Linked DNA regions of Rattus norvegicus. The protein of the gene in region 1 interacts with the protein of each later gene in a pairwise test. Links are inferred from orthologs where the notes say so. Each region holds a gene or a part of one and is shown in the gene's direction. Other genes may lie near its edges.

Evidence for each region.
Region 2: the proteins of Thap1 (region 1) and C10h1orf35 interact in binary tests that used the Homo sapiens proteins (3 or more experiments, as listed by UniProt). The two-hybrid records come from large-scale screens. The link is inferred for Rattus norvegicus from reciprocal best matches to the Homo sapiens genes THAP1 and C1orf35.
Region 3: the proteins of Thap1 (region 1) and Akap17a interact in binary tests that used the Homo sapiens proteins (3 or more experiments, as listed by UniProt). The two-hybrid records come from large-scale screens. The link is inferred for Rattus norvegicus from reciprocal best matches to the Homo sapiens genes THAP1 and AKAP17A.
Region 4: the proteins of Thap1 (region 1) and Ap2b1 interact in binary tests that used the Homo sapiens proteins (3 or more experiments, as listed by UniProt). The two-hybrid records come from large-scale screens. The link is inferred for Rattus norvegicus from reciprocal best matches to the Homo sapiens genes THAP1 and AP2B1.
Region 5: the proteins of Thap1 (region 1) and Mettl13 interact in binary tests that used the Homo sapiens proteins (3 or more experiments, as listed by UniProt). The two-hybrid records come from large-scale screens. The link is inferred for Rattus norvegicus from reciprocal best matches to the Homo sapiens genes THAP1 and METTL13.
Region 6: the proteins of Thap1 (region 1) and Bag5 interact in binary tests that used the Homo sapiens proteins (3 or more experiments, as listed by UniProt). The two-hybrid records come from large-scale screens. The link is inferred for Rattus norvegicus from reciprocal best matches to the Homo sapiens genes THAP1 and BAG5.
Region 7: the proteins of Thap1 (region 1) and Phf1 interact in binary tests that used the Homo sapiens proteins (3 or more experiments, as listed by UniProt). The two-hybrid records come from large-scale screens. The link is inferred for Rattus norvegicus from reciprocal best matches to the Homo sapiens genes THAP1 and PHF1.

Annotation. Positions count from the first base shown.
Region 1 is NC_086034.1:72,609,891-72,613,927, reverse strand, and holds the start of Thap1 (THAP domain-containing protein 1), read left to right. Parts: upstream 1-1,237; 5' UTR 1,238-1,470; coding exon 1,471-1,541; exon of another isoform or gene 1,542-1,594; intron 1,595-3,756; coding exon 3,757-3,952; intron 3,953-4,037. UniProt on the Homo sapiens protein: DNA-binding transcription regulator that regulates endothelial cell proliferation and G1/S cell-cycle progression.
Region 2 is NC_086028.1:44,493,009-44,497,184, forward strand, and holds C10h1orf35 (multiple myeloma tumor-associated protein 2 homolog), read left to right. Parts: upstream 1-1,376; 5' UTR 1,377-1,474; coding exon 1,475-1,719; intron 1,720-1,865; coding exon 1,866-1,911; intron 1,912-1,993; coding exon 1,994-2,076; intron 2,077-2,152; coding exon 2,153-2,225; intron 2,226-2,329; coding exon 2,330-2,415; intron 2,416-3,044; coding exon 3,045-3,176; intron 3,177-3,294; coding exon 3,295-3,412; 3' UTR 3,413-3,839; downstream 3,840-4,176.
Region 3 is NC_086030.1:21,425,448-21,429,477, reverse strand, and holds the start of Akap17a (A-kinase anchor protein 17A), read left to right. Parts: upstream 1-1,230; 5' UTR 1,231-1,310; exon of another isoform or gene 1,311-1,401; intron 1,402-1,665; 5' UTR 1,666-1,741; coding exon 1,742-2,542; intron 2,543-2,871; coding exon 2,872-3,020; intron 3,021-3,677; coding exon 3,678-3,930; intron 3,931-4,030. Other genes in the region: Asmtl (N-acetylserotonin O-methyltransferase-like protein), read right to left, coding at 1-8, 114-206. UniProt on the Homo sapiens protein: Splice factor regulating alternative splice site selection for certain mRNA precursors. Mediates regulation of pre-mRNA splicing in a PKA-dependent manner.
Region 4 is NC_086028.1:68,599,274-68,603,522, forward strand, and holds the start of Ap2b1 (AP-2 complex subunit beta), read left to right. Parts: upstream 1-1,449; 5' UTR 1,450-1,566; intron 1,567-1,618; exon of another isoform or gene 1,619-1,762; intron 1,763-1,960; exon of another isoform or gene 1,961-2,074; intron 2,075-4,249. UniProt on the Homo sapiens protein: Component of the adaptor protein complex 2 (AP-2). Adaptor protein complexes function in protein transport via transport vesicles in different membrane traffic pathways.
Region 5 is NC_086031.1:77,426,605-77,430,104, reverse strand, and holds part of Mettl13 (eEF1A lysine and N-terminal methyltransferase), read left to right. Parts: intron 1-1,298; coding exon 1,299-1,495; intron 1,496-3,351; coding exon 3,352-3,500. UniProt on the Homo sapiens protein: Dual methyltransferase that catalyzes methylation of elongation factor 1-alpha (EEF1A1 and EEF1A2) at two different positions, and is therefore involved in the regulation of mRNA translation.
Region 6 is NC_086024.1:136,590,479-136,594,460, reverse strand, and holds the start of Bag5 (BAG family molecular chaperone regulator 5), read left to right. Parts: upstream 1-1,182; 5' UTR 1,183-1,294; intron 1,295-1,736; exon of another isoform or gene 1,737-1,752; intron 1,753-2,936; 5' UTR 2,937-2,961; coding exon 2,962-3,982. Other genes in the region: Coa8 (cytochrome c oxidase assembly factor 8), read right to left, coding at 927-1,049. UniProt on the Homo sapiens protein: Co-chaperone for HSP/HSP70 proteins. It functions as a nucleotide-exchange factor promoting the release of ADP from HSP70, thereby activating HSP70-mediated protein refolding.
Region 7 is NC_086038.1:5,018,512-5,022,774, forward strand, and holds the start of Phf1 (PHD finger protein 1), read left to right. Parts: upstream 1-1,463; 5' UTR 1,464-1,665; intron 1,666-2,326; coding exon of another isoform or gene 2,327-2,347; coding exon 2,348-2,506; intron 2,507-2,588; coding exon 2,589-2,670; intron 2,671-2,766; coding exon 2,767-2,862; intron 2,863-3,214; coding exon 3,215-3,315; intron 3,316-3,406; coding exon 3,407-3,555; intron 3,556-3,696; coding exon 3,697-3,792; intron 3,793-3,920; coding exon 3,921-3,989; intron 3,990-4,076; coding exon 4,077-4,200; intron 4,201-4,263. Other genes in the region: kinesin-like protein KIFC1, read left to right, coding at 255-299. UniProt on the Homo sapiens protein: Polycomb group (PcG) that specifically binds histone H3 trimethylated at 'Lys-36' (H3K36me3) and recruits the PRC2 complex. Involved in DNA damage response and is recruited at double-strand breaks (DSBs).

The DNA of each region.
Region 1 (4,037 bases):
ACTTGAATTCAAGATTGCTGGTGAGAGAATAACCAAGAGGTACTAGTTTTACTCTATGAGATTAACCTAAGTCTTGAGGAAGGGGGAGAAATCCTAGGAGCAGCTGATAAAAACACTGGGAACCAAGACTAATGGGAGTTGGGTCCCTGGAAGCCCACAGGGTGGAAGGAAGAGAATCCACTCCCACAGGCCGTCCTCTGACCTACATGTGTGCTTGGTGCCCATTTGCCTAAAGTTATAGATGGTGTGAACTGCCTTGTGGGTGCTGGGAACCGAATCTGGGTCCTCTGCAAGAGCAACAAATGCTCTTTACCACTGAGTTAAGTCCTGGTTTTGTTTGTTTGATTGATCTCATTGATACCAGGGTTCCAGATTTAAGTAGCCGGCAAATGCATTAAACCACATACATGGTGACTCAGAAGGCAAGTCCATGTGTGCTGAAGTTAGAGGGGCTAGTAAAGGATGGTATGCGGGCTCAAGAGTCAAAGGTCTACAATGATGTCGGGCACACGCGCCCCAGACTCAAAACTACAGAAGGTCAAGCATGTAACACTTCTCTCTAGCATGAAAAATAGCTGCAACAGCTCGCAATTTCCAGCACAGACAGAACGCAAAGGTAACAACGTTCCAAGCTGGAGAAACGGCTCAGCGGTTAAGAGCACTGACTGCTCTTCCAGAGGTCCTGAGTTCAATTCCTAGCAACCGCATGTGGCTCACAGCCATCTGCAGTGGGATCCGCTGCCCTCTTCTGGTGAGTCGGAAGACAGCGACAGTGTACTCACAAATATAAAATAAATTTTAAAAAATAAGTGCTTTTGATTCTCAGCTTAGAAGAAATGAAATGCACGTCTGTACTCGCTCTTTAAGTAGACGGCCATCTGGATTCTGAACGTGGAACACAGATTTGTATAAATCACACCTCCGCAGCCGCCCTTTTTAAAAATTACATGTGACCAGGGACGAGCTTTCCCACCTTCCCTTTACGCTTCTGGGTCCAACAGGCGGTTTAAATTGAATTAAGTTTACCACACTCACCAATACAAGACCCTACAAGAGACTAAAGCAAGGCTCCCAAACAAACGCGCTTTCTTCCGGCCAAGGCGCAGAGGACCCACCCACTTCCGCACTGCTGACCACGCCCCCCAGGCACGCCTCGCCCTAACCAATGGTCAGCTTCCCTGGGAACGTTACCTTCGGCTAATCAGAGCCTGCGAGCGAACTCCTCGCGAGAGGTGAGGTTGAAGCTGCCTCCGCCATCTTGAAGATGGGAGACGAGCGACAGCTGTTGTCTTTCTGCTAAAGCAAACACCACAACGGACCGGGTGGTCACCCCCCACGGTGAGGTAATCGTCCCCATAACTGCTAACCAAAGCCACCGAAAGCGGCGACCGTATCAAAGCCGAGCGCGGCGGCACCGACGGCCCCTTCACCTGCCTCCCGGGCAGAGGGGAAGTGTGGAGGGCCAGAAGGATGGTGCAGTCCTGTTCCGCCTACGGCTGCAAGAACCGGTACGATAAGGACAAGCCCGTCTCCTTCCACAAGTAGGTAACTGGCGTGCTCCGCGGCCGCGGCAGGGGCGCGCGGGCGGGTGGAGGCGGAGCCCGGCGCGTGGCCGCGCGAGACCTGGAGGAGGCGGGGCGGCCGGCGGGCTCGGGCGGCAGACGGGGCTGGCCGGCGGGGGCGGGGACCCATGGCTGCGCGTTCCCGGCGCGCGCCGCCTCCGTTGGCTGGGCTCTGCTGAGGCTGCGGCCGCGCCTTTGCGCTCGTGGAGGGTTTCTGGCGAGCAAGCGATGGACGCCTGGAAGCCTCTCGCTGCCCTCCGGATTTCGTCCCAAGCCAAGCCGTGGAAATGTCCCATAGGGATAAACTGGAACTAGAAAAGCATGGGAGGGAGACCTGGCTTCTGACCTCGCTGCTGCTGTTAGGAGGGAAGCAGGATAGCTGAGTGTTGACATCTGACCAGGACTTTTAGACCTGGTTTCAAAGAACCAAGCTTTAAGGATCTGTGGGTTTTAGAGGTGACTCTTGGTATTGCCAAGATGAGCCCCAGTCTTTCAACACACGGTAGTAATGAAACGATAGCATTCACTTTACTCAGATGCCCTGGGAAAGGTTGATGGAACTAATGTTAGCTTTCCCCCACAGCTGTCAGGCCTTGTTCTTGTGTGTGCAGCAAGCAAGAATCCAGGATGAAAAATACTCTCTTGAAAGAAGAAGGCAATAGAATTAACGTTACTGATGGTGATTATTAGCAATGCTAACGGTCCACAAAATGTGACATACTTTTAGGCAGCTAAATTCGTTATTACAAGTTTTATGTTAGGTTTTGGAAGAATTCCTGACTGTATGCAGAGAATAGCTAAGAAATCAGACCCACTGGAAAATTATCCAAACTGTCTATAGGGAAAACAATTACAGAAACAAATTTCAAAATGTTCCCTCAGGGATTTGGGGAGCTAGTGTTTTTGTTTAAAAGTGTTTGTTAGAAAGTAAGAGTTGTATGCTGGTGTTTTCTCTGTGGGAAGAGGATAGAATATGTCCAATTACTACGACTTGATTGATTGAAATTTCATACGCCTTCAGAATGTCAGAACAGATCAGGAAATGGTGACAGGGATATGCATCCGACTTGCCACTTCCCTTTCCTATGCTTTATTAAGATGGCCCAGGAGTCTTCAAATATGCAGACTAGTTAAAAATGGCACACATCGGGGTTGGGGATTTAACTCAGTGGTAGAGCGCTTGCCTAGCAAGCGCAAGGCCCTGGGTTCGGTCCCCAGCTCTGAAAAAAAGAAAAAAGAAAAAAAAAATGGCACACATCAAACTACTGTTTCAACTGCTGGATGTTGAAACATAAAAACAAGAATGAGTCTTATTCCTTATGTAAGAACAGTAAATGGCAAAGATCTTGACAGTTCAGAGTTTGTGCTCTATGCCAGGAGATGAGATACTAAGATTTATAAGAAGCTACCACAGTGGTTGTACTTCTTTTCAGGAATATCTTTTTTCCAGCCTGTGTGCAGTAGCAGTGGAGAAAGCTGGCTGTGTAAAGAATAAACACTAGCAGGAAGATTGGTTAGGTCTTCATAAAGAAAATGATGATCAGGGTCCCACATACCTTATGTAGTGGAATAGTAAAAATAAGTGGAAACATTCCTTTTCAGCCATTTCTGATTCCTCTAGCATCTCCCACCAAGTTTTTGTTATAGAAAAGCATAGTGGCAATAGATACAAGGATTCCCCATTCCATACACTGAATTAAGCCATAAAATAACGTCCTTACCATCTTTGTCACTTGCCCAATTCAGGATGTAGTCTCTTTGTTGGAGTGATTAAAAAGAGCTAGACGTCTATTTCAGGATGTAGACATATGTCCAAGTTTTGTTCTATAAGACACAAAATTTTTAGTAAAAATATGCGTAGAATTTGCACATATGATCAATTTTTTTTCTTTTCTTTTCTTTTTTTTTTTTTTTTTTTTTTTGGAGCTGGGGACCGAACCCAGGGCCTTGCGCTTGCTAGGCAAGTACTCTACCACTGAGCTAAATCCCCAACCCCACATACGATCTATTTTAACTGAACTGTTAAGTGTCTTCAGTATAAAAAGGTGAAGCTCACTGAGTGAGAATAGTAACCGGAACTGATCTCCAATCAGATTCTCCTTAGTATGTTAAGATTTTCCTTAGTATGAGAATGGGGGAAGGGTATTATTTATTTTTTAAAGTAAAGTCAGAGAACTGAATTGTATCTTCTTAGGTTTCCTCTTACTCGTCCCAGTCTTTGTAAACAGTGGGAGGCAGCTGTTAGAAGGAAAAACTTCAAGCCCACTAAGTACAGCAGTATCTGTTCGGAGCACTTTACTCCAGACTGCTTTAAGAGAGAGTGCAACAACAAGCTACTGAAGGAGAACGCTGTGCCCACTATTTTTCTCTATATAGAGCCACATGAGAAGGTAATTTGGGTTCTTAAATGCTGGATTTGTTTTTTTCCTTTCCCGGTCTTTTCTTTGTTTTCTTTCCTCCTCTGCATTCTCTTCC
Region 2 (4,176 bases), on another chromosome or scaffold:
AAGGCCCTGGGTTCGGACCCTAGCTCCGAAAAAAAGAAAAAAAAAAAAGAAACCCCAGTCATAGAGATACAAATTTCTGAAGGGGGTTGACCCCAAGTTCCTGAAGAACATGTGCTTTGCCAAGAAGCACAAGAAAGGCCTGAAAATGCAGGCCAACAATGCAGAGGCAGAGAGTGCATGCTCAGAGGCCATTAAGGCCCCTGCCGGGGCTGGGGATTTAGCTCAGTGGTAGAGCGCTTACCTAGGAAGCGCAAGGCCCTGGGTTCGGTCCCCAGCTCCGGGAAAAAAAAGAACCAAAAAAAAAAAAAAAGGCCCCTGCCAAGCCTCAGGCCATCAAGCCCAAGATGCCAAAGGACCCCAGCCACAAACTCAGCTGTCTGGCTCTCATCACTCACTCCAAGCTTGGGAAGAGCATTTGAAGCTACATGGTCAAGGGTTGTAAGCTCTGCCAATCAAAGCAAGATTGTACAGAGGCTAGAAGCTTCCAGGACTAGGCCTAGGTTAGCAGACAAAGGCAGTAAGCTTTGGAGATGACAATTACATTAGGCAAATAAAGGATATGTATTGTGCAGCTCCCCTTGGGACCATCCATTCATCCCTAGTATGATCTTGTTCTGAGGGATCTGAATCCAGATATTTCCTCTAAAACCAGGACTTGATCTCAGGGCTTATACCAGGAGCCTCACAGGCTGCTGACAGGTACCCAACTTGTGTTCAGAATGAAAACAAAAATGAGATTGTCTTGGTCTATTTGGGATGCTAGAGTGTTCCAGGTTGGGTAATTTATCAGACTAGGGATGGAACCCAAAACCTTCTACATGTTAGGCGAGTGATCTATCATTAAATCCGTTTCTGTTCATTTTGAGGCAAGGCCTCAGTGAACTGCCGGGTAAAGCTTCACCTGCGGAGTACACAGATCGCTCTGGTTTAGGGATGCTTCGACTTGTGGTATTTAGCTTACTGTAATGCCATGCACGCTGTCACTCAGAGCACGGAAGAGTTGATCTATGTTCCTTTGGCGACTTTATCTGCTCCTCAGTGTTCGGTGAAGTTTTGCCATTACTTAACTTAGTTTCAACAGTGACCTGGACCTCAGGCCTTTGGAGTTAGCACGCTTGGCTTTCCAGGAAACAAGCGGACAGCCCCTCCTGGTGTCACTAAGGTGTTGTGGTGTCCCACTCCACGGAGATGCCTAACACAAGCGTTATCAGGTGTGATAGCACGGTTGCCTTTTTGAAGAGGTACTGCGCAATAGGACGAAGGATGTGCCTGTGGGTGAAGCAATGAACGCCCTTTGGAAAGATGGAGTCGGTCCGGGATACGCAGTGCGCAGGCGCACAGGAACGTTAGTTAGAGCGCAGGCGCGCGCGGGGGGCGGGAGAGTGACGTCACGGCGAGCGTCCGGAGGCCGAGTGCTGCGGGGAGTCCGACTCCAGACCGTAGATACTGAAGAAGGTGCAGCGGCTCCAGCACCATGTTCGGCTCCAGTCGCGGCGGCGTGCGTGGCGGGCAAGACCAGTTCAATTGGGAAGATGTGAAGACTGACAAGCAGAGGGAGAACTACCTGGGCAACTCGCTGATGGCACCAGTAGGCCGCTGGCAGAAGGGCCGCGACCTCACCTGGTACGCGAAGGACCGCGCGCCGTGTACCGGCCCGAGCCGTGAAGAAGAATTGGCAGCCGTGCGTGAGGCGGAGCGTGAGGCGCTGCTGGCCGCACTGTAAGTGCTTGGGCTGCGGGGCGACCGCACGCGCCGGGGGCGGGGTCTGGGTGACCCTGGGGGCGGGGTTGGATGTGGGCGGGGCACACGAGGAAGGCAAAGGAGGGACTAGACCTTTGCTGAGCATTCCCGCCCCTCGTTCGCAGTGGTTACAAGAACGTGAGGAAACAGCCCACCGGCCTGAGCAAGGAGGTGAGTCTGAGATAGGGGTTCAAGGTTCGCAGGGTGGCTGGGGGTCCGTCTGTCCCGGCCTAGAACCTCCTGTCTTCCGCAGGACTTCGTGGAGATCTGCAAACGGGAAGGAGGAGATCCTGAGGAGAAGGGTGTGGACCGGCTGCTGGGTCTGGGCAGCGCCAGGTGCGGCCAGTTGGGGAGTCTAGGGCAGGACTGGGCGGTGATTCAGAACTGTCCTCAAATGCTCTGTCCCCTGCAGTGGCTCCGCGGGCCGTGTGGCACTATCCCGAGAAGACAAAGAGGCTGCCAAACTTGGGCTGTCAGTGTTCACGGTAAACCCTGTCAACCCTAATGCCCAGGATCTTGGGGTTTGGGGGTGTCTGAGATGTGGGGCAGGATTCCCGGAGTGTCCCTCACCACAGCTACTCTTATACAGCACCACCGTGTGGACAGCGAAGGCCCAAGTACTGCCCCATCTGCTACCAGGAAGAAGCCCCGTGCTGAAGACAAGGCTGAACTGGAGTAAGTTGAGTCTGACTTCCTGTGCACGCATAAAGGGGCAAAGCACTGCCTTAGGTCTCTTAGTTTACTGAAGTAGGTGGGCCTCCATCTCCCGGCTGAGTCTCAGTAGCTGCCACAGGCAATCCAGCAGGATAATGGGTACAAACAGGAGGGTGACACTCAGGACCATGATGCTAGCCAGTTTGGTGGGGGGTGTAGTAGTTAAAAGTATAAGTTGGCTTTGGTAGTGGCACACATCTTTCTTTCTGGTAGACAGAAGCAGGCTGATCTCTCATAAGCTGGTTCCAGGCCTTGGGATTTAACTGTATGTGTGTCAGGTTACTTCTACTTTTGTGCCATGTCAGCTTTGTATGTAGGTAAAATAGTGAGTTCCGAGCTTGACAAGGCTGCAGAGAGAGACAGAGAGAAGGCCCACCAGGTTGGTAGCATGCCAGCATTCACCCTTGCTGCTGTGGAGCCAAATATTAAGCTCATTTACAAATATAAACTCACAATGTGTAGAAACGACCAGTGTGCAATGCTAAGGTATGGACCCTGCCCTATTCTGTCTTTCCCTACTGGGTGAGACTACCCCACAGTGGAGTGACTCTAGTTCTTCAGGCTTAGACCCTTTGTATTGTTTCTTGCAGTGCAGAGAGCCATAAGAAAAGCAAGAAAGAAAAGAAGAAAAAGAAGAAGAAACATAAGAAACACAAAAAGAAGAAAGACAAAGAACACAAGAGGGAGGCTGACAGCTGCTCATCTTCTCCCTCTCCTGCCCGGTAGGCTAGGCCCAACTCTATCTGGGTCACTAAGGAAGGGGGTGGGGCGCAAAGCTGGCCAGGGCTTGAGTGATGCTTAGCAGGGTGATGGACCCTTCAAGTGTCCCTGTCTTCCTAGGCCCAGACGCCAGAGACATTCTGACTTCTCTCCCTGCTATAAGAGGAAGCGGGAACATAGCCAGGACAGTGGAAGGAACCCATCCCACAGACGACAAGACAGAAGTTCTGATGACTGAGAATGTGGCTACACCAAAGGACACCAGAGGCCTGGCTGCTCTGCCCAACTCTGAGCTCTGTGGGGTCTATCACTGATGCCAAGTGGCTACCAGCCCACTCCTACTTGCTAACTATCTCATCCCTATCTGGGATAAGGCAGGGCTGCTCCCTAATAGCATCCTGAGCCATGCTTGCTGGATCTTAGGATCTATCCTGCCAATTGGAGGCAACCACTCCGGGTCAGAGTGGGCCCTGGGTTACCAGAGAGCCTAGTGGTTCTATGAGGGTAATGCTCTCCCCTTGTCTCCCCACCCACCCACAATTGCCCAGGAGACTGTCTGCCGCCATAGTCCAGGCCCTTGAGGTTTTGGGGTGTGTGTTACTGATTACTTCTACTTTTTTTTGTATCAGCCCACTTTGTACTTAAGTAAATGTATTTTAAAAGTAGAGTGTATTATCTCACTGAGGACAGGTTATGCTGGGAGCCTACCCCTCCCCCCCACACCTCACCATTCAGTATACCTGAGGGCACTGGGTCTAGGGACCAGAATCCTGTCCTTGAGGCTGCCTTACAAGCATACAAGTGACCAAGAAGTTGGAAGAACAAACTTGTAAATTTGAATGTATCTGCTGTCTGCTAAGAGCTCCAGTAGCCAGCAATTTTATAGAGCCTGTGTGCACATGCTGGCAGACAGTAGAAATTAGGGTTGCTACAATATAGCAAGTTGTTCTGATTGTAAAAGCTATTATGCTGGTAGTGTACACTTCTGGGTAGACCCCAAAG
Region 3 (4,030 bases), on another chromosome or scaffold:
ACCACGCCCTGCGGGGTGTGGTCACGTCACACTCTCATTTTTGGGGGCTCCCGGTTCCGCCCACCGACTTCCGGTTCCCTCCCTGTCAGTGACCCGGCAAACGGAAAGCGCACCGCCAGGTCGAGGATCTCCCTCCGCCTTGGCGAAGCGCTCGCCAGGACCACGTGGTAACCGCGCAGGAGCGGGGCGAGCGGCTTCAGTGCCATGGGGGCCAGAGTCGCGCGGGGTTACCAGACCTGACCGATATCACTGGAGGACTCCGCAGCCCAGGCACCACCCTTCGTGTTACGTGAATGGTGGCGTTTTTGCGCAATTTCCGGAATTCGCCCAGGCCCCGCCCCTCCCTCTTGGCTTGCGAAATTTAGGAAAAGCGCAGGCAAGAGGGCGTATGCGGTATTAGATACTAGTAAAAATCAGTATGACAGGCGGAAGTCCCGCCCCTTTTCAAGTCCGTTTAAAGAAAATCTGAGCCGGAACTTGCCCTAGAACCACGCAGAGCCCTGGGAATCAATTCCGGAAGTCCCGCCCCCTGTCGCCTCCGTCAAAACCGGGAAAGGACGACCCGGATGCACTGTCACTGCCACGGGGGTCGCGCCAGGGCGGACGTCACACACATGGATACGCTAGGAATCACGGGATTGCCCGCCGCGCTACGCGGGCCGCGCTGGCTGACGACGAGTCGCATAGTTTATGACCTCACGCATAGCGGACAGAGTCTGCTCTTTGCTGAGCCTAGTTGCTTTGTTGTGACATCCGAGCGAAGGCGACGAAGGGGTCACCAGTGCTGACCCCGCAGGCCACTGTCACGGAGCCTAAGCGCAAAAGGGAACTGGGAGGGCGGAAGAGCGTCTACGCATGCGCGCCCTGCTGCTGTTGCTGTTTCTTGAGGCGGGGGTCAGAGGTGAGCGGTGCCGGAAGTTCCCTTTGTGCTCCTCCGCTTTCCCGCCACAGGAGGGCGGTTGAAAGCGGCTGACAGACGTTGTCTCCACGGAGGAAACGGGAGGGAGTCGATCGTATTTGACGTCACCGGTGAGCGCCTTGGTCACAGGATTATCGCCCTGTTGACCAAGGAGCCGCAACCTCCTGTGTCTGGGAGCGAGAGCAAAAACCTGCGCGTGCGCGCTGAGTGCCGCTGATTCTGCTGGTGATCCCTGTTTCCGGTATCCCGGATCAGAGGTGACCGGGACCGGAAGTGGCCATTTAAACTACGAAAATCAGTTGTCAGCGGCCGTGAACGAAACGCCTGCGGGGACTTTACCAAAAGGCCTTAGACGGTGGCGAGGACTAGAGTCTGGGCACCGGAAGCTAAGGTGCGTCACGGGAGCCCCGGGAATGGCTACGAAGGGTAACGGGGCAGAGTGACGAGGCCGCTGCGGAGCACAGGGGTGGAGCTTAGAGGAGGTGAGCGGAGAACACTCCGGGCTCGCGTGGACTGGGTCTGACCTGTTTCTGCTGCTTCCGCGGAGTTTTCCGGCTAGGAAATAGGATGGGGCCCTAGCAGGAGAAATGTAGGACTGGGGCGGAGCCTGGGGCAGAGGCTTGGCTTTATTTGAGAGGAGGGGCGGGGTTTGGTTCCTTGGCCATAATGGAGTCAGGTGAGCATAGCCTTAGCTGTGTTCTCATCCTAAGGTTCTCTGATGTCATGACCTTGTGTGCGTGTTTCAGATGTTGTGACGTCACCATGAGCATCACTACATACTGATATCACTGCACCATCCCCGCTCCCCCAGACTTGCTGGCCATGTCCTCAGCCACCATCGTGCACGACCCCTCGGAGGCGGTGCCCCTGTGCCCGGCGCTGGGCCTGTACCTGAAGCCAATCGCGCGGGTGACAATCTCGGTGTCGCTGCCCCCTCCGCCCCCAGCTCCGCCCCCTTCGCCTTCCTCGACGTCCCCACCCCCGCGTGCGCCAAGTCGTGCAGTGTCAAACTGGGAGGTGATGGAGGGACTGCGGGCGATGGCACAGGGGGCACGAGCGCCGCTGTCATCACTGCGCCTGGCCCGGGGCGGCCCTGAGGTCGTGCGCTTTGAGGGCGAGGTCGAGAACCGGGCGCTTGTGCGTCCCGCACTCGCTGGCCTGGACGGCAAGACTATGATGCTCAGCGGCCTCCCCCATGGCCTGCGTGTAAGCGCCGCTGAGGCCACGCCCCCACCCACGGATGACCCCGCCCACCCTCATGACACCATCCACCTTCAGGGCCTGCCCTGCCGCTGGTTTGCGCCCCGTGGGGGCAGTGGCGGGGATGAGGCTGGAGGCATTTCTTCCCCTGGTGGCATTGCCTCAGCAGAGAGGCCCAGCGAGGCTCTCCTGCGCCAGGCTTTCGGGGCGTTTGGTGAGATCCGCCATGTGGACATTCCCATGCTGGACCCTTACCTTGGTGAGGACGGCAGCCATGGCGGGGGCGGGGGCGGGCGGCTCCGCTTCGAGGCCTACGTTCAGTACCGAGAGCGTGATGCCTACGCCCGTGCCATGGCTGCCCTGCGTGGTGCTAAGCTCATGTTTAGGGGCACGGACGGCAAAGCTGTGGCCTGCGGCATCAAGGTGAGGGGTTTGGCGGGACCTGGAGTGGATTGACATCTTGTGGGCGGAGACTAAGCTATGACTGACAGAGTAGGGGCGGGGCACCAGATGTAAATGACACATGGAACTCCTTGGCGCTTGCATGTGGACAGGTGGGTGGTTCCTCGGGAAAAGTGCAGTGCCTGAGATGAGGGGTGGGGTCCATGACATCATGATGGTTTCAATGATGTCACAGGGGTCAAAGGGGGCGGGGTAGTGTGGAGATCAAAGGTCACCCACATGACATCACAGGGCGGCATTGTGATGTGACCACACGTCCTCTTCACTCCCCTGTGCTCCTTCACCTGCAGGTGACATCAGATGCCACACAGCACCTGAGCGAGGCTTCGATCAGACGCCGGCAGCTGGAGCGGCAGAAACTACAGGAACTTGAGCAGCGGCGTGAAGAGCAGAAGCGGAAGGAGCGTGAGGATGAGGCGCGGCGGCGGGCAGGCCAGCGGTGAGCCAGTCTGAGGCAGGGTGACTGGTGGGTGGATCAATGGGATGATGTCACTGGGAAATCATTTGGATTATATCACTCACATGACATTGTTGATAATGACACCGCCCTGATGAGCTTACTCTGATGACATCATGCTGTGTGACATCATCAGGTCTTGTATGAGGTCATGCTGAATGGTATTGCTGGCCGATATCACTCGGATGACATCACCAGGTGACATCATCCCAAATGACTTTGTGTTGCATGACATCATACCATATGACATCATTGGGGTGATGTCACTAGGATGCAATATCATATATCATGGTATGATCTCATGTTAAATGTGTTAATAAGAATGTCACCCATATGAATGACAGAGTGACATCACCACCCCTCACTTTCTCTTTGTTACACTCCTGGTCCCTCCCACCTGTCACTCATTCAGTAGTTGCAAACCCACACTCATTTATCCCACACTCATTTCCTGTCTGGGGCAAAGTCATTCGATGATGTCAATCCCTATGATGTCGCCCCCTATCACATCACCTTCAGCCTGGGATGAAATCATTTGATGACGTTGCTTGAATGACGTCATATCTAGTGACGCCAAACCCGATTGCATCACACGATGTCACGCCCAGTGACATCACCCACCCACCCCCAACCACCCAGGAAGCAGCGGGAGGCAGAGCAGCAACAACGGGCACGGCGTCGGGAGGAGAAGCTTCGGCGCAGAGAGGCACGGCAACGAGCACGGAAGAGACGAGGCCGACGTCGAGAGGAGGAGGAGGAGGAGGAGGAGGCAGAGCCCCAGCCTGTGTTGGGGCGTGAGGAAGAGGAAGGTGCAGAGCCCCGTCGGCTACTGCTCGCCCAGCGCAACCTGCAGTCTGTGCGGCTCATTGCTGCCCTGCTTGCCCGCGCTGAAGTAAGCAGGCCTTATGGGTGGGCAGAGTCAGAGGAGAGCAGAATTACAGTGTTGCCTCAGTCAGAGGTGGTATGGGCATGGGTGGGCAGGGCCTCAAGTG
Region 4 (4,249 bases), on another chromosome or scaffold:
TTGCTGGGATTTGAACTCAGGACCTCTGGAAGAAGAGACAGTGCTTTTGACCTCTGAGCCATCTCTCCAGCCCGTTTTGTTTTTCTTTTCTTTTCTTCTTTTTTTTTTCCCCCGGAGCTGAGGACCTAACCCTTGTGTTTGCTAGGCAAGTGCTCTACCACTGAGCTAAATCCCCAACCCTTTGTTTTGTTTTTCAAAGACAGGGTTTCTTTGTGTAGCCCTGACTCTCCAATTCATATTGTAGACCAGGCTATCCTTGAACTCACAAAGATTCACCTACCTCTGCCTCCTGAGTGCTGAGGTTAAAGGCTTATGCCACCACACCTGGTTACCTTGTTTTTTTTTTTTTGTTTTTGTTTTTTTTTAATATATAACAATTTATTTATTTTATGTATAGAAGTACACTGTAGCTGTCTTCAGACACCAGAAGAGGGCATCAGATCTCATTACAGATGGTTGTGAGCCACCATGTGGTTGCTGGGAATTGAACTGAAGACCTCTGCAAGAGCAACCAGTGCTTTTAACCACTGAGCCATTCTCTCCAGCCCTGCCGTGAGTTTTAAGTTTCAAATCTGGGGGCTGGAGAGATGGTTCAGTGGTTAAGATCACTGGCTGCTCTTTCAAAGGACCTGGGTTTAGTTATCAGCTCCCACATGGCAGCTCACAGCTGTCTGAGATTCCAGTTCCAGGGGACCGAACACTCTCACATACATACACGCAGGCAAAACACCAATGCACATTAAAGATGTTCAATAGTAGAGTGAGGGAAGCCTGGGTAGGAGAACCACTAAGCCTTACTGTCAAGGTATATATATAGATAGAGAAGTTCAAAGTGCTCTAGAGGCAGAAGCAAGAGGGGCTTAGTTTCAGGCTTGCTTGAGATACACAGCCCAATGCTGGTTTTTCTTTTTAAACACCAGTAGTACCAGTTTAGTTTCCTAAAGAAACCTGTATCCACTAAGTGTTTTGGGTACCTTATACCACGCAAGCCTACGGGCGAGGCAGGAAGGGGGCGCTAATAAGTTTCTCCAGTCTTGTACAACGTAGGGATTCAAACTCAGATCTGAATACTTCTTAGCATCTTTGAGTCGCTAACTCCTAGTTCAGCTGCCCACCTGTACTTCTGGTTTCTATCACCTCTATGGGCTTCTGAACCTTACATGCAAATTAGCCGAGGTTTGTGTTTAAGCATATAGGATATCTCACACAGGTTTAACAAAATTCTTGTTCATGGAAATAAATCAAGAAAATATCTACGTATTGAAGATATCCTTTGGAAAAGCCACTGCGGGTTTCCTTAGTCTGCCCTAACCCTGAGAAAGGTAAACCTTTCCGTTGCTGAGGCGACAGACACAACTTGGCTGTTTGGTTCTCCCGCGCACCCGGATGACGTCAGGCGGCGAGATTCTCTTACGCCAAAACTTCCGGCCCACCATCTTTGTCCCTGGCAAATTGGGTTTTGCGCAGTGTCTTAGATCTAGAGAGAATCGTGACGGGCAGGAAACCATTACACCACCTTCCCGGCTGTGCTCTCTGACTGCCGCCGCCACCCCGCCCTTGCCTCCGGTGAGTTCAAGGCGGCTGGCTTTGGGGTGTGTCCCTGACTGGGGGTAGTTGTGAAGGAAGGGAACCCCAAGCCGGGTCGTAGGCGCAGGAGGAAAGGAGAAACGGGGAGCGTGACGGTTGAGGATGGAGGGAGTCCTCGGGTGTGACCGTTGTGAGGGAAAAGCTTGGAGAAAGTACCTCTTTCGTAGTGACCGTGGTGGGTTGGGGCTGAGCTCCGGTGTAGCAGCGATAGTTGGGGGCTTCAAAACGAAGCAAGGTTCGGAAGACCGGCTTGGGTAGGGCTCAGGCCAGGGGTGTGGCCGCTGGAGGCCCAGGGAGAACCACCTAGATTTCCCGTTTGGCATCTGTTCATTGAGAAAGAAGCTTGGACGTGTCCGTCCAGCACGCCTAGGGAGAAAGGATTCCCGCGACCGTTTGGTCACTGAAACCTCCGTTGTCACCCGTATTCGGAGGCATCTCTCCTTATCCTGGACAGTTTTCTTGACCGGGTCTTGACCTGCGGAGGGAAGTGGGTAAAGAGAATAGGGGACTAAATAATGTTCTTCGAGAAAGGAAGGAGAAACTTGCGTAATTGACCTCCTGTGTGAGAGGGGGAAGCCAGTGAAAGTAAATCTTAGCCTGGAATTGTTTTTCTTTTTTTAGCTCCCTTTATTCCCCGGGGTTATTAGGAGCAGTCTAGTTTGGGCAAGGCTGTAAAAGTCTACTAGAAGTGAAAAAACTGGAATTTCCTGCCATTTCTTTATTCTTTGAATTCTCAGGATGTATTAGTATTTTGAGCAGCCCTGTTTAGAGGAAGGCTCTTATTAAACTCAAGCAGTTTAGGTATGAAGCAGTATGAATCTGTCATGGATGCTTCGCTGAATTTTTTTTTTTTTTTATCATTTAGAAGGGAGATTATTTTTTTAAAATGGCCAAACTCTTTTGTGACCTTTGTGGTTTAAAAGACAAAGGACACACTATAAGCACAGCAAGGCAAGTTAACTGAAAAGAAGGTGGTCTCAGAGAGGAACAATCTAAATTATCACCTGCTTTCCTTGTGTAGTTCTACTGCTCAGCCTCAGGGTGCACTTACAAGGTATTAATAGAAAGCGGCAGGTGAAGTAGGTGCAGCCACCAGTAACACATTCCCGGGATGACTAAGTGAGGCGGGCGGACATGTAAAATGAGAGCAGAGTAGGTGTCTTGCAGGGGAGACTCCCTGAGAAATAAAGGGGAGTGTGCTCTGCAAAAAAGCTCCCTAAAGTTGAGTGGTAAATTAATACAAAGTAAACATTCTGAGAAAATAAGACTCAGAGAAGTCCCTCACATCCCCTTCCCCTGTAAAAGGTCATTGCTTTCCTCTTAAGGCACACATTTGAACCAAGTCAGACAGGGAGCATTCAGAGGACATCATCCCCATTTTTCTTCTTTCCTCCTAGGCTTAGGTTTCCCCAAATGTCTTGGAATTTCATAACAGTTGGGTGTAAAACTGTTGGGCTTCTTTCTTTACGCATAATACTATATTAATGAATTAACTTGTAGTTGTTTAAATAGAAGCCAGAGGTGGATTTAGCTTTTAAATGTTTTATTTCTGATAAGCTAATTAATCTGAAGCTGCTATTGTCCTGGTGTTATGAACATTTTAGCCAGAAATGGTCTTCATACCACTCATCCTTATAAGCAGAGGTTCCTGGAATGTCACTAATGCTTTGCAGTTTACTGAACTCTGGCTAGTTATTGACTTCATGTGCAAAGAAGGGCATAGTGGCCTTGCCAGTGCTAACGTTGGCTGCCATTTCCCAGACAACTACTTGAAATTAAGACCTTACTAATTTGTTTCTGACTGTATTCTACCCAGCCTGTTAATCTTGGTTTGCTGTTGAGTTGCTCTTTGGGGAAATTGGAGGAGGGGAAGGCTGGGAGGAGAGAAAGGACGTTGACAACCTATATTTGGCAGAAACTAGGTTATGTTAATCTAGATCTATACCCTTGTACTGTGAAAGGCAGTGAAGCAATACTGTGGGCTAGGACAAGTTCAAGGATTACTGCTTTGCCTGGTGGCTGCTCTGTCCTTTAACAATGTCCCTAGGCCACACCTTAAGTCAGTCAGTGACCTTTCAGGTTTCATGTTGTATAAGGTGGTGTAAGTTCAAATTCCATTGTGGCTTGCTTATTTCTAGGGATTTCCTGAAAAATTTTGCCCCAGTAGGATTTTGAATTTTGAAGCACTAGGCAAGTTGAAGTTGTATTTTTCCAGTTCTATTGTGGCTTTGTGTGTGTGTGTGGTTTCTACTGTGGGCACCAGTTTTACACCCTATACTGGAGAATTTGACTGAATATTTGGCAAGTGTTTGGGAGGGTCTTTATTAAAAAATAGTTATATGAATTGTGAGTTGAGAGTCACAGGGACATTAAGGTTCTGTCACTACCACTCTTTCTCATTTTAATTAAATACTTAAAATTCATACAAATATATAATGTGTTTAAGTCTAGGCTGCTCCCCCAGCCCCCCCAACCCTTTCTTTCTACAGTGCTTTTGTTTAGACTGTTTTCATTCTCCCTTATCCCCCACACCTCTGCCCCCGCCTTAAGGATAGACTGGATGCCTTGTTTTTCTGCCTGTATGATGGCAATTATTTCATCACAATTATTGACTATGGTGTCAGTTAAATGAGTGATATATTTACCTGCTTTTTTTTTTTCC
Region 5 (3,500 bases), on another chromosome or scaffold:
GAGAATTGAGGCTATAGCAGGAGATAGTGTAAATTTAGACCCATTACACATTGCATAACAAGGCTAGTTCCTCAGGGGACTGGATAAATGGAGACAAGGCTGGGCTGGTGGGTTCCAGCTGAGACGTCTTGGCCGAGTTCTAGCTAGCATGTGTGCTGTTGGACTCCAGACTGAAAGGCAGTGCGAGGTAGCAGACAGGAGGGAGCGCTGCTGCAGGTTCTTAGGATGCAGTCCCAGCTTCCTGGTGATTTGACACAGCAGAAGTGACTGTTTCCTGTATGCCTCGTTTTCTCTGCAAATGGAATGGGACTTAACTCCCGGTGTAGAGTCAGGAAGTGTAAACGCTCGTAGAAATGAGGCTGGCCGTGTGGTGAGTGCTGTACGGATGTCAGCTGCTGTTGTGTAAAGAAGGGAAGGTGTCAGAGGGGTGGCGGGATGAGAAGAGTTGGAGAAGTGAAGAAGATGGGACCGTCCTGGGTGCATGCGAGGTGTGGTTATGTTGGAAGCCTGGTTTCTTGAGAACTGAGCCACCCTTCTAAGTATTTCATAATCCTAACAGCCCCACCTCAGCGAAGAGCGGAGCGGATAGGAGCGTAGCGGTGAGCCAGGCCGTCTGGCCTGAGTTGAGCTTTGCATTCACTGCATTGTGGATTTAGACAAGTCGTTTCAGTTCTGTGCTTCTCTTTCCTCATTTTTATGATGGAACAATGCCACGTTCATCTTGGGCCACTGTGAGGATTCCAGTGTTTGTGTCTGTAAACAGCTTAGAGTTAAGGCCTGCATGGAAACAGCACTATCTGGGATGGTGTGTGTGTGTGTGTGTGTGTGTGTGTGTGTGTGTGTGTGTGTGTGTGTGTGCACGCGCGCGCGCGCACGTGCATCTGTGTGTGTGTGCGCGTGCACGTGCATCTGTGTGTGTCTGTGTGTGTGTGTGTGTGTGTGTGTGTGCACGCGCGCGCGCGCACGTGCATCTGTGTGTGTGTGCGCGTGCACGTGCATCTGTGTGTGTCTGTGTGTGTGTGTGTGTGTGTGTGTGTGTGTGCGCGCGCGCGCGCGCGCGCGCGCGCGCGAGTTTTCTTTGCCCATCTCCCTTCCCCTCAGACATATCCACACTTGTCCTTAGTCCCGCTTCATGTTTGATGGGCTGCTTTGCTTTGGGAATTGCTACCCTCTCAGTCTCTCAGTGGGTCACAGGAAGGGAGCTGGTCCCGAGCAGTGACTGGTTTAGCCATGTGGATATTAATCATGGAGCTTGATATTTCACCAGCACTCCTAGTAACCAATGTCGTCTATCCCAGTACCCCAGGGTCGGGAGACGGAGTGGCTCTTTGGCATGGAGGAGGGCCGGAAGCAGCTGGCATCCAGTGCGGGCTTCAGGAGGTTGGTCACAGTGGCTCTTCACCGAGGCCAGCGGTATGACAGCATGGAAAGCATTCAAGCAGAGTTGTCGGCCAGAGTCATGGAGCTGGCCCCAGCTGGGATGCCCCCCAAGCAGGTACGGAACCCCTCCGACAGCAGCTGTCACTGCTGCCTGGAGTCCACTGGCAGCCAGGAAGGCGGGGACCAGGGGAAGGGACAAATGAGAACAAAGTATAAGGACAGAGATCATGAAGAGGCCATGGTGAGACCCATTACTTTGTATGCTAACATAATTCATTGAGAGGCCAGAGAGACGACTCTAATGTTAGGAGCACTGGCTGCTCTTCCAGAAGACCCAGGTTCAATTCCCAGCACCCACATGGCATCTCACAACTGTCTGTAACTCTAGTTCCAGGGGACTCACACCCTTGCACAGACATATTCCCGCAGTACACCAGTGCACATTAAATAATGATAAATTAAATTAGTATAAGAAATTAAAGAAGAAAATCAGGATGAAAATCTGACCATAGCCTGGAGAGTCACCGTTAGGGGACAGTTAAATGTCCCAGCAGAGAGAGAAGAGCCAGCCACTCCAGGTGTTGAGGTGGGAGGTCTGTGCTTTTTGTTTTTTGTTTTTTTTTGTTTGTGGTTTTACATTTTTCCAAAAACAGATTTATATATTTTACATATGCGGTTGGGGGCCTGTGGTGGTTTTTTTTTAAAACAGGTCTCAAAAAAAGATCTATTTATATATTTTATGTATATGGTTCTTTCCTCTGTGTGTGCGTCTGCATACCATAGGAGAGCACCAGATCCCATGGGACTAAGACAGTTGCGACCCGTCATCGTGTGGGTACTGGGAACTGAACCCAGGATTTCTAGAAGAGCAGCCTGTGCTCTTAACCTGAGCCATCTTTCCACCCCTCTTCCCCACATTTTAAGTGGACTTCCCTGGTTGTTTTGTATCTAGGAAGTATCATGGGAGGATATAAAAGAGAGAGGACCCAGCCAGCTCAGTCAGGATGTCAGCGTTGCTGGAAAGGATAAAAGTTGCACTGAGAAGTGGCTTTACCAGTTGACATCTGTCACCACAGGAAACTGGCAAGTCTGTTGTAAGAACTGGACTCTGGGACAGCCAGGGCTCCAGAGGGCCAGTGTGATAGAATTGGCTCTGCTTGGGTTCCTAGCCTGTGGTCTTGCTCACTGGGCTGACCTGGGCTGGCTGACCATGACTCTGATTTTTTTTTTTTTTTTTTTTGTCAGACTCTGGGATTGTTGTCCGTTAGAGAGATTGATCTCACAAAGGCCTGGATTCTCTGGAGAGCTTCTCTCATCACTATGTCTGCAAGGGCAGGAATTACTTACTGGCAGTTAGGAAATCTGCTGAGACAGAAGTGAGAATGGGACAGAGCAAGTTTAGGGAATATACTCTTATCCCGAGATGTGGGCAGATGCACCAGAGATGAGACTAAGTTGGGGAAAGGAGGGGGTCATCGTTTCCCCTGGACTTTTGTTATTTCTGTTGGTGTCCAGATTCCTTCTCACAGATTACAGCTCCTCCTCTCTCGTTGGTTACTGTCCTGGGCTGTGGAGAATCCATGTGCTTACTGATGAAACTCTTACTTCTTTCTTGGGCAGCACCAGGTGCAGGTCTCTGCTGCTTAGGGGATCTCTATGTGTTCATCTGAGTTTCTCTCTTTTTTTTTTTTTTTTTTTCTTTTTTTCAGAGCTGGGGACCGAACCCAGGGCCTTGTGCTTGCTAGGCAAGCGCTCTACCGCTGAGCTAAATCCCCAACCCCTCATCTGAGTTTCTAAAGTGGAGTAAGCCTCATGATCTCTCTCGAAAGGCCCAGGAGGGCAGGTCTTTGGAGCCATGCTGTCCTTGATGTGGGGAAGTCCTCATGGTCACTCGTACCAGAGCAGGGTGGATAACATCACACACTTGTTAATTGAGCTGATGCTTTGCCACATCTCTGTCTCCCCCTTCAGGTGCCCTTCCTGTCTGTTGGCGGGGACATCGGGGTCCGGACTGTTCAGCAGCGAGCCCACAGTGCCTTGAGCGGTGACTACGTTATTGAGGATGTGCAAGGGGAGGACAGGCGGTATTTCCGGCGGCTCATCTTCCTCAGCAACAGGAG
Region 6 (3,982 bases), on another chromosome or scaffold:
TCTGTTTCTCTCTTCCCCTCCCTCATTCCCTCTCTCTCTCTCTTTTTTAAAGATGTATTCATTTATTATATATAAGTACACTGTAGCTGTCTTCAGACACACCAGAAGAGGGCATCGGATCTCTTTACAGATGGTTGTGAGCCACCATGTGGTTGCTGGGAATTGAACTCAGGACCTCTGGAAGAGCAGTCAGTGCTCTTAACCTCTGAGCCGTCTCTCCAGCCCCTCATTCCCTCTCTTAATTATTGCTTAATCGAAGCTCTCCAGTCTCTATCACTAGCCTAGTGGCAGGTGAAGTGTTAGTAGCCACTGATTAATGTTTTCATCTGACGGATAGACTCAAAACCTAGGCCTTCCTTAAACAGAACATCCTGTCGCAAAGAAGTGCAACTGATTTAATAAAAAAAAGATTTATTTATTTTTTATATATGGGAATACACTGTCACTGTCTTCAGACACATCAGAAGAGGGTATGGATCTCATTACAGATGGTTGTGAGCCACCTTGTGGTTGCTGGTAATTGAACTCAGGACCTCTGGAAGAGCAGTTAGTGCTCTTAACTGCTGGGCCATCTCCAGCCCCGGAACTGATTTTTAAAAAGGCTTCACGTCCTTTCCTGCTGCAGACAAGCACTGTTGATCTCTGACATCACGTGCATATTTACAAACAATGCGAAGTCTACACAAGTGAGATGATGAAGTCGGCCACCGCTTTAAACCGAACACTAGTCTTAACGAAGCGGAAGTGAGAAAACACACTTCAAGAGCTGTGTTGATACAAATGGTATTTAACTTGGTAGAATAAACAAGATTCGCACTCTCCACAGCGGATCCGCTACAAGGATCATTAGCCTGCCGGAGAGACGCGGGCGTCGTTGGGGTGCTCAGCGGCTTCCCTCCCTGCCAGCGCCCCGGCGTCCCGCTTACCCGGCTGGACGCAGCATCCCTGCGCTCCGTAGCGCGCTCACGGGCCAGCCGAACGCCGCCGCCGGAGAAGGACCGGCAGAGCAGCCGGCGAAGAGCTTTGCTTCCGGGCCGCAAAGCCGCCATGGCCCGCGCGTACGGCAGGATCGCGACAGTGGAAAGGTTGGCTTTACGGCAGCGTCGCAAAGCCTGGGGCGACGCGCGGCGAGGCCGACCCTGCGCATTCCCTGAGAGGGACGACCGGTTGCGGGGCCCGCACGGACGAGGAGGCGAGTTTTCTCCGGGCTCGGAGCTGAGGGGCCCGCTGTGCGAGGACGGCGACAACGCTGCGGAAGTGGAGGTGGCGGAGCGCGATGGCGCGTGCGGCACAGGTGAGCGCTGCGCGGGGGCGCGACCTCCGAGCTTCCGGAGTCGGGCACTTGGCCACCCTCGCTGCGCAGGCCAGCGCCCGCCGCGCGCCCATTGTGAGGTCAGGTGGCGGCGCGTCCGGCCCGGCCGAGACCCGGGAGCGGCCGCCGCGGCCAGTAGCTGCCGCCGCCTCCGCCGGCCCCTTCACCGGCTGCCCGGGTCAGACCTAGCCGGGAAGGGCGAGGGGGATGACGCTGGGGGCTCCGCTCCGGTGCCGCTCCCCGTGAAGGGCCGATCTCCCACCTCGCCGCCCTCCGCGGCAGCCAAGACCGCCGCCACCCAGACCTCTCGGAGTAAAGCGCTGCGAAGGCCGGGCTTGGACCCTCCCCAGGGACTGAGTTCTGTGGCCTGCCCGCCAGAAGTGAGCTGTTTGACAGAAACCTGAGAGCGTGGGAAATGCTCTAAGCACACTTACGGGGAGGCGAGTGACCGAGTTAATCGCAGTCGTCAGGTTTTTGCGGCGGGTACTTGAAGTCGAGGGCGAGGATTTGGACGTTTTCTTAGTTCCACTTTCTGAAAAGTAGCAAGTTTAGCTGTCTGTCCGAATGCTGCTCCTGTCAGTTTGGAAGAGCTACTTCCACAAGGGCACCCTGCTGGTTCCAAAGACTAGCTTAGGTTGGTGGGATTTCAGGAGATTGTGTTGCTGCTAACCCGGTGGGTTGACCTAGTATATGAAAGTGTATGCAGCTCGCTTTCATGGTTTAAGACAGAATTCATAGGCCTAGACATCCACCCAGGCTGGACCATGAGTACCTTCCTGTCTGTTCTTAAAATCCCTGCCGTGTTCCCTTATTTTCTTTTTGCTTTTGATTCTTGGTGTCACCAAGTAGTCCTTGGCGATCTTGAATTCGTAATTCTCTTTCCTCTGTCTCCCTGGTGCTAGGATGGTAGGCATACACCAGCTCACCAGCTTGGTTGGTTTGTTTTTTGTACCTGTTCAAAGAGGCAGTTGACATGTCACATCTTCCTTTTCCTCAAGTGTCTTTTAAACCTTTGACAAAACCCTCCGTGTGTTTGCTGCATGCCCAGCTGCCAGAGTTTGACCTGTCCACCCGCCATCGTTTCTGTGGTGTCCTTTGGTTTTGTTTTTTGAGGCAAGGCTTCTCATTGTCCTGGAGCCCCTCAGTTAGGCTGGCTGGCTGGCCAGTGAATCCCAGAGCTCCATCCGTCTTTGCCTCCCCGGCCCTGGGAATTTAACTGGGCACCGTCTTGCCTGGCCTTTCTGTTTTATTTTATGTGTGTTGGTGTTTCATTTGCCTGCATGGATGTCTGTGCACCATATGCGTGCCTGTAGAGTACAGAAAGGAAATCAGATCCCCTGGAACTGGAGTTACCATTAGTGGTGGTCATGAGTTGTCATATGGGTGCTGGTAATCAAACCCAGGTCCTCTAGAAAGCATTCAAGTCTCTTAACCACTGAGCCCTCTCTCCAGCCCCTTCCCTGGCTTTTTTTTGCACGTGTTCTGGAGTTGCAACCTGGACACTTGACTAAGAACTCTCTCCACAGCCCCAGTGAGCCCTTTTAAAAAGTGTACTAAAAAGGAGTGTTTGGATTGGGTTATTACCCTAAGAGACTAATAAGTTATCGTTCTTGCTATCTTTCAGTGCTTGTGAAACTGAACACACAAGTATGGATATGGGAAACCAACACCCTTCTATTAGTAGGCTTCAGGAGATCCAACGGGAAGTAAAGAGTATAGAGCAGCAAGTGGTTGGCTTCAGTGGCCTGTCGGATGACAAGAATTACAAGAGACTGGAGAGGATTCTGACGAAACAACTTTTTGAAATCGACTCTGTGGATACAGAAGGGAAAGGAGACATCCAGCAAGCTAGGAAGAGGGCAGCACAGGACACAGAACGCCTTCTCAAAGAGTTGGAGCAGAACGCGAACCACCCACACCGGATTGAAATCAAGAATATCTTTCAAGAAGCTCAGGCCCTTGTGAAAGAAAAGACTGTGCCCTTTTACAGTGGAAGCAACTGTGTGACTAGCGAGTTTGAGGAAGCCATCCAGGACATCATTCTGAGGCTGACACATGTTAAAACAGGAGGGAAGATCTCCTTGCGGAAAGCAAGGTACCACACACTAACCAAGATCTGTGCGGTACAAGAGATTATTGAAGACTGTGTGAGGAAACAGCCTTCCCTGCCACTTTCCGAGGATGTGCATCCTTCTGTCGCCAAGATCAATTCTGTGATGTGTGAGGTGAACAAGGCCAGAGGTACTCTGATTGCACTTCTGATGGGCGTGGACAGTTCTGAGACTTGCAGGCACTTATCATGCGTGCTGTCAGGACTGATGGCTGATTTAGATGCTCTAGATGTGTGTGGGCGTACAGAGATCAGAAATTATCGGAGGGAGGTGGTGGAAGATATCAACAAATTACTAAAATATCTAGATTTAGAAGAGGAAGCTGACAATACACATGCATTTGACCTGGGACAGAACCATTCCATTATAAAGATAGAAAATGTCCTCAAGAGGATGAGAGAAATGAAAAATGAACTTCTCCAGGCACAGAGCCCTCCTGAATTGTACCTGAGGTCCAAGACAGAGCTGCAGGGCTTGATCGGGCAGCTGGACGAAGTGAGTCTGGAGAAAAACCCCTGCATCAGAGAGGCCAGGAGAAGAGCAGTGATTGAGGTGCAGA
Region 7 (4,263 bases), on another chromosome or scaffold:
CTTCTCGAGCAAGGAGTAGCCTGTGTCATGCTGACATATGACCAGCGGGCATATCTCTATCATCTTTTCAGACTGCTGGTCTCCTCCAGGTTAGTGGACACAGCACCACTGTCCCTCCAGGGGGTCAGGCCGAGCCTGCTGCCGTAGTCCTTATTTCAGGGAGTCAGACAGTGGGCCCAGCATTGGGGCAGAATGGGAGACTTCGGATTGTAAGCAGTGATCTCGTGTAACCCTATTCACTGGTCCATCCACAGGTGAACCAGTGCGTGATCGGCACTGCTCAGGCTAATAAGAAATGAAGATGGATGCAGAGCCTGGCTCCTGTGCAAGCGGGTGTGCGTGTCTGTTTTGTGTATATGTATAACACGGGGGTGGGGCGGGGCTGAGACATGATTTTATTGGGTGGACAACATTATGTACCCAACTATCAAATAAAGAAAATTTGGTGTAGGTTAATTTTTTTCTTAATCTTAGATTTAAAAAATTGTGTGTGTACAGTTGTTTAGCCTGAGTATATACATGTGCACCATGTGCATGTCTCCTGCTCCTTGAAGTTCAGAAGAGGCTTCGGGGCCTCTGGAACTGGAATTATGGACAGTTTTGACCATCGATGTGGGGTCTGATCAGTAAGTGCTCTTAACCACTGAGCCATCTTTCCAGACCCTGTTACAGCTCTTAATGGTTTTATTAATATTGGTAGCTGCCAGATGAAGTATTGTGAGTAAATACCGTAAGATGTAGAAATGTCCATTTTGACCTGTTTTGCAGAGTGAGGGAGGCTATGGGCTTTCACTTGGAGGGACACACTAACTTTGCTGCCTGCCCTGGTGCCTCTCCTCTGTCCTTCAGCTCAGGGAGTTGTGCCCATAGTGCCCACACCGGGCCCTCTGTGACCAACTAAATCTCTCACTTCCCCTGCCCACCGGTTCGAACCATGGTTCGGTCCGTGCCGCCTAGTGCCCATTGGCTGGTGTGGGCGCGTCACCGCCCCAGTACTAGTTCCAAGTAGCCTCTGGTCCTTTCCCTCCTAGAGGAGCACGGCCATGCCAGTGCTCGCCGCGGGAGGAGTGGCTGTGTGCCCAGGTGCGGCGCGCGGGCGGGGCTACGCGTGCGCAGAAGGGCGGGGCAACAGAAAGCGTGAATGAGGAGGGCGGTTCCGCGTGCGGAGGCGGAGCTTGGAGTGGCCACGGGGGCGGGGCAACTAACGGATGTGGCATGGGGCGGGGCCCGGCCCTGACCTGCAGGCTAGCTGCCAAGAAGGTTATTTCCTGCTGCCCTCAGAGCAAGCCTCCTATCCGAAAAGGGGGCTACAGGGATTTCCTCGTCCTCCCCGACCGGCCGCGCCTCCAATAGCGCAGCGCCCTCCGGGCCTACTGGAGGTGAGGGAGGTGCTGCCTACCCGCCCCTCCGTCGTCTCCTCCCACTGGTGCTCCCCACCCTCCACTCTCCTCCCTCCTTCTGTCGACTCCTCCTGCCGCTGCTGCTGCTTTGGCTGCTGCGTCATACGCCCCAGAGCGGCCAGGACGGAGGGGCTGGGCCCGGGGACCCCCCTGGCCTCCACCTGCACGCCCCTCGGCGCTCACACTCAGTCTTCCCGCACCGGGGACTCACCCAGATCTCTTGGGTCTGCCCCTACCTGGCTTCCAGCTGCCCCAGCTGTCACCGGTAAGGAGAAGGCGGGAGGCCCGGAGGGGGGGGGGCAGGGAACCGGGGGTCGGTGCGCAGGAAGGGCTGGGGGAGCCTCCTGGTCCCAGTTTGGGATCTGTGCTGGGGCGACTCAAGTCCCTCCGTGGACTGGCAGTGTAGGGGAGTAGAGACTTGGACAGGGACACGCCCCCCTCCTGGGGCACTCAGGGAAGTTATCTAATCCCAGGTCAAGGAGCCCCAAATTTGAGGGTGACCTAACATAACCTGGCACCAGGATGGTGGCTCTAAATAAGACACACAAGCCTGGGGAGGCAGCTGTTTCTACTCCTTTAACGTCTTTAGAAAAGCTCCCAAAACATCTCCGGGCAACAGATTGCCCCAGTTAGGCTACCTCTACACAGCTGGGAAAGGTGAAACTAAGTGGTAACCTTGATTCTGCAAACATCTTTTCCACCGGAGGTCCGGAGGAGCTGGGATACTACGGAGCTAGGCAGGGGAGATGGAAAGGAGTGGAGTAGAGAAGCTGACCAGAACGACCTGCCTCCTCGGGGTTCTAAAGGATTACGAGACTGGGGTTGGAGATTCCTGGTCAGGGTCAGGGTTTCTTCATCCGTAACAGAAAACAACCCACACAGGGACACTTTCTCAGCGCTCATAAACTCTAACCATCCTGTTTCAGAATAGCCCACCCCAGGATGCAATGGCGCAGCTCCCCCGGCTGAGCCGTTTGGGTGCTCCCTCTCTTTGGGACCCAGCCTCCCCTGCTCCCACCTCAGGCCCCAGACCTCGGCTTTGGGAAGGTCAAGATGTGCTGGCAAGATGGACTGATGGGCTCCTGTACTTGGGCACCATCAAAAAGGTGAGGCCCACCTCTGATCCCCTGCCTTCCCAGGCCGGTCTGATTCCTGCCCCCACTTTACGGTCTTGGTCATCCACTCCAGGTGGACAGTGCGCGGGAGGTGTGTCTGGTCCAGTTTGAGGATGATTCCCAGTTTCTAGTTCTATGGAAGGACATCAGCCCAGGTGAGACCCTTCAAAGCACAGCTTCCCTCTGCAGCAGCTGGAGCCGATGGGGACGCTGGGTTGAAGTGGGCCTCCTGACACTTTGTTCTCTCACAGCCGCCCTTCCTGGTGAGGAGCTCCTCTGTTGTGTGTGTCGCTCTGAGACCGTGGTCCCTGGGAACCGGCTGGTCAGCTGTGAGAAGTGTCGCCATGGTGAGAGGGCGGGATGTTTAGGGGGTGCAGTTTGCCCTGGGTCTTCTGGGTTACCACTAGAAGGGTTACCCTCCCTCATAGCGTGAGTCACGCACGTCTCCTGCCTGGGCCAGTCCTCACCCTGTCACCTCATCTCAGTACAGGGAGAGGGAGCGTGGATGCAGGTGACAAGGCTGAGGGCCTACCGTAGCTCGCTCACATTTCTTAACCAAGCTTCCTTGGGCAAGGTCCTCAACTGCTAGAAGCCCGTTGACTCAACTTGAGTGTCAGGATGAGACCTGCCAGCGGGACCGGTCTTAAATGCCCTGGTCAGGACTTAAAGGCCACTCTGTGGCCTTCTCTCCTCATTCAGCCTATCACCAGGACTGTCACGTCCCCAGGGCCCCAGCCCCTGGAGAAGGAGAGGGCAGCTCCTGGGTCTGCCGCCAGTGTGTCTTTGCGATTGCCACAAAGGTAAAGGCACCTCTCTGCCTGCTTGTGTGGGAGCCTCCCGTGACCTCTCCTCCTTCCCTGCCCTCTGAGGCTTCCCTCTGTTCCTCTGCAGAGGGGAGGTGCCCTGAAGAAGGGTCCCTATGCCCGGGCCATGCTGGGCATGAAACTCTCCCTGCCGTACGGTCTGAAAGGGCTGGACTGGGACGCCGGACATCTGAGCAACAGGCAGCAGAGCTACTGTTACTGCGGGGGCCCGGGGGAGTAAGTGAAGGAAGAGCAGGGCCAGCCACGGCATGGGTGTTTTGTGGTGGTAGAGCCCAGGACAGAGGGGAGCGAAGAGGGTGAGGGGGGGCCCTGTGGTTTGAAGAAGGCTGAGGGCCATGGCGCTGTCTTCCCCTTGAGGTGGAACCTGAAAATGCTGCAATGCCGGAGCTGCCTCCAGTGGTTCCATGAGGCCTGCACCCAGTGTCTGAGCAAGCCCCTCCTTTACGGAGACAGGTGAGATCCAGGGAGACTGCACAGGAGCCTGGGGTGCTCTCTCTCCCGCGCTCCCGACTGACTAGTTAGCCCTCTGCAGCTCGTACTGGAGGGTTGAGTGAGGTCCCTCTGTCCTGACCCATATACAGATTCTATGAATTTGAATGCTGTGTGTGCCGGGGCGGCCCTGAGAAAGTACGGAGGTTACAGCTTCGCTGGTGAGAAGGATGGTGCTCTCCGCCATTTTACTCTATGACTCCTGACTCCATAATGCTGCTGCTGTTGACAATCTCATGCTCCTCCAGGGTGGATGTGGCCCATCTTGTTCTCTACCATCTCAGCGTTTGCTGTAAGAAGAAATATTTCGATTTTGACCGAGAGATCCTCCCCTTCACCTCTGAGAATTGGGACAGTCTGCTCCTGGGGGAGGTAAGGGTTCTAAAGTTTGAGAACTGGGGTTTTTGGAACAAGGAATGCGTGCTCCCTGGGACC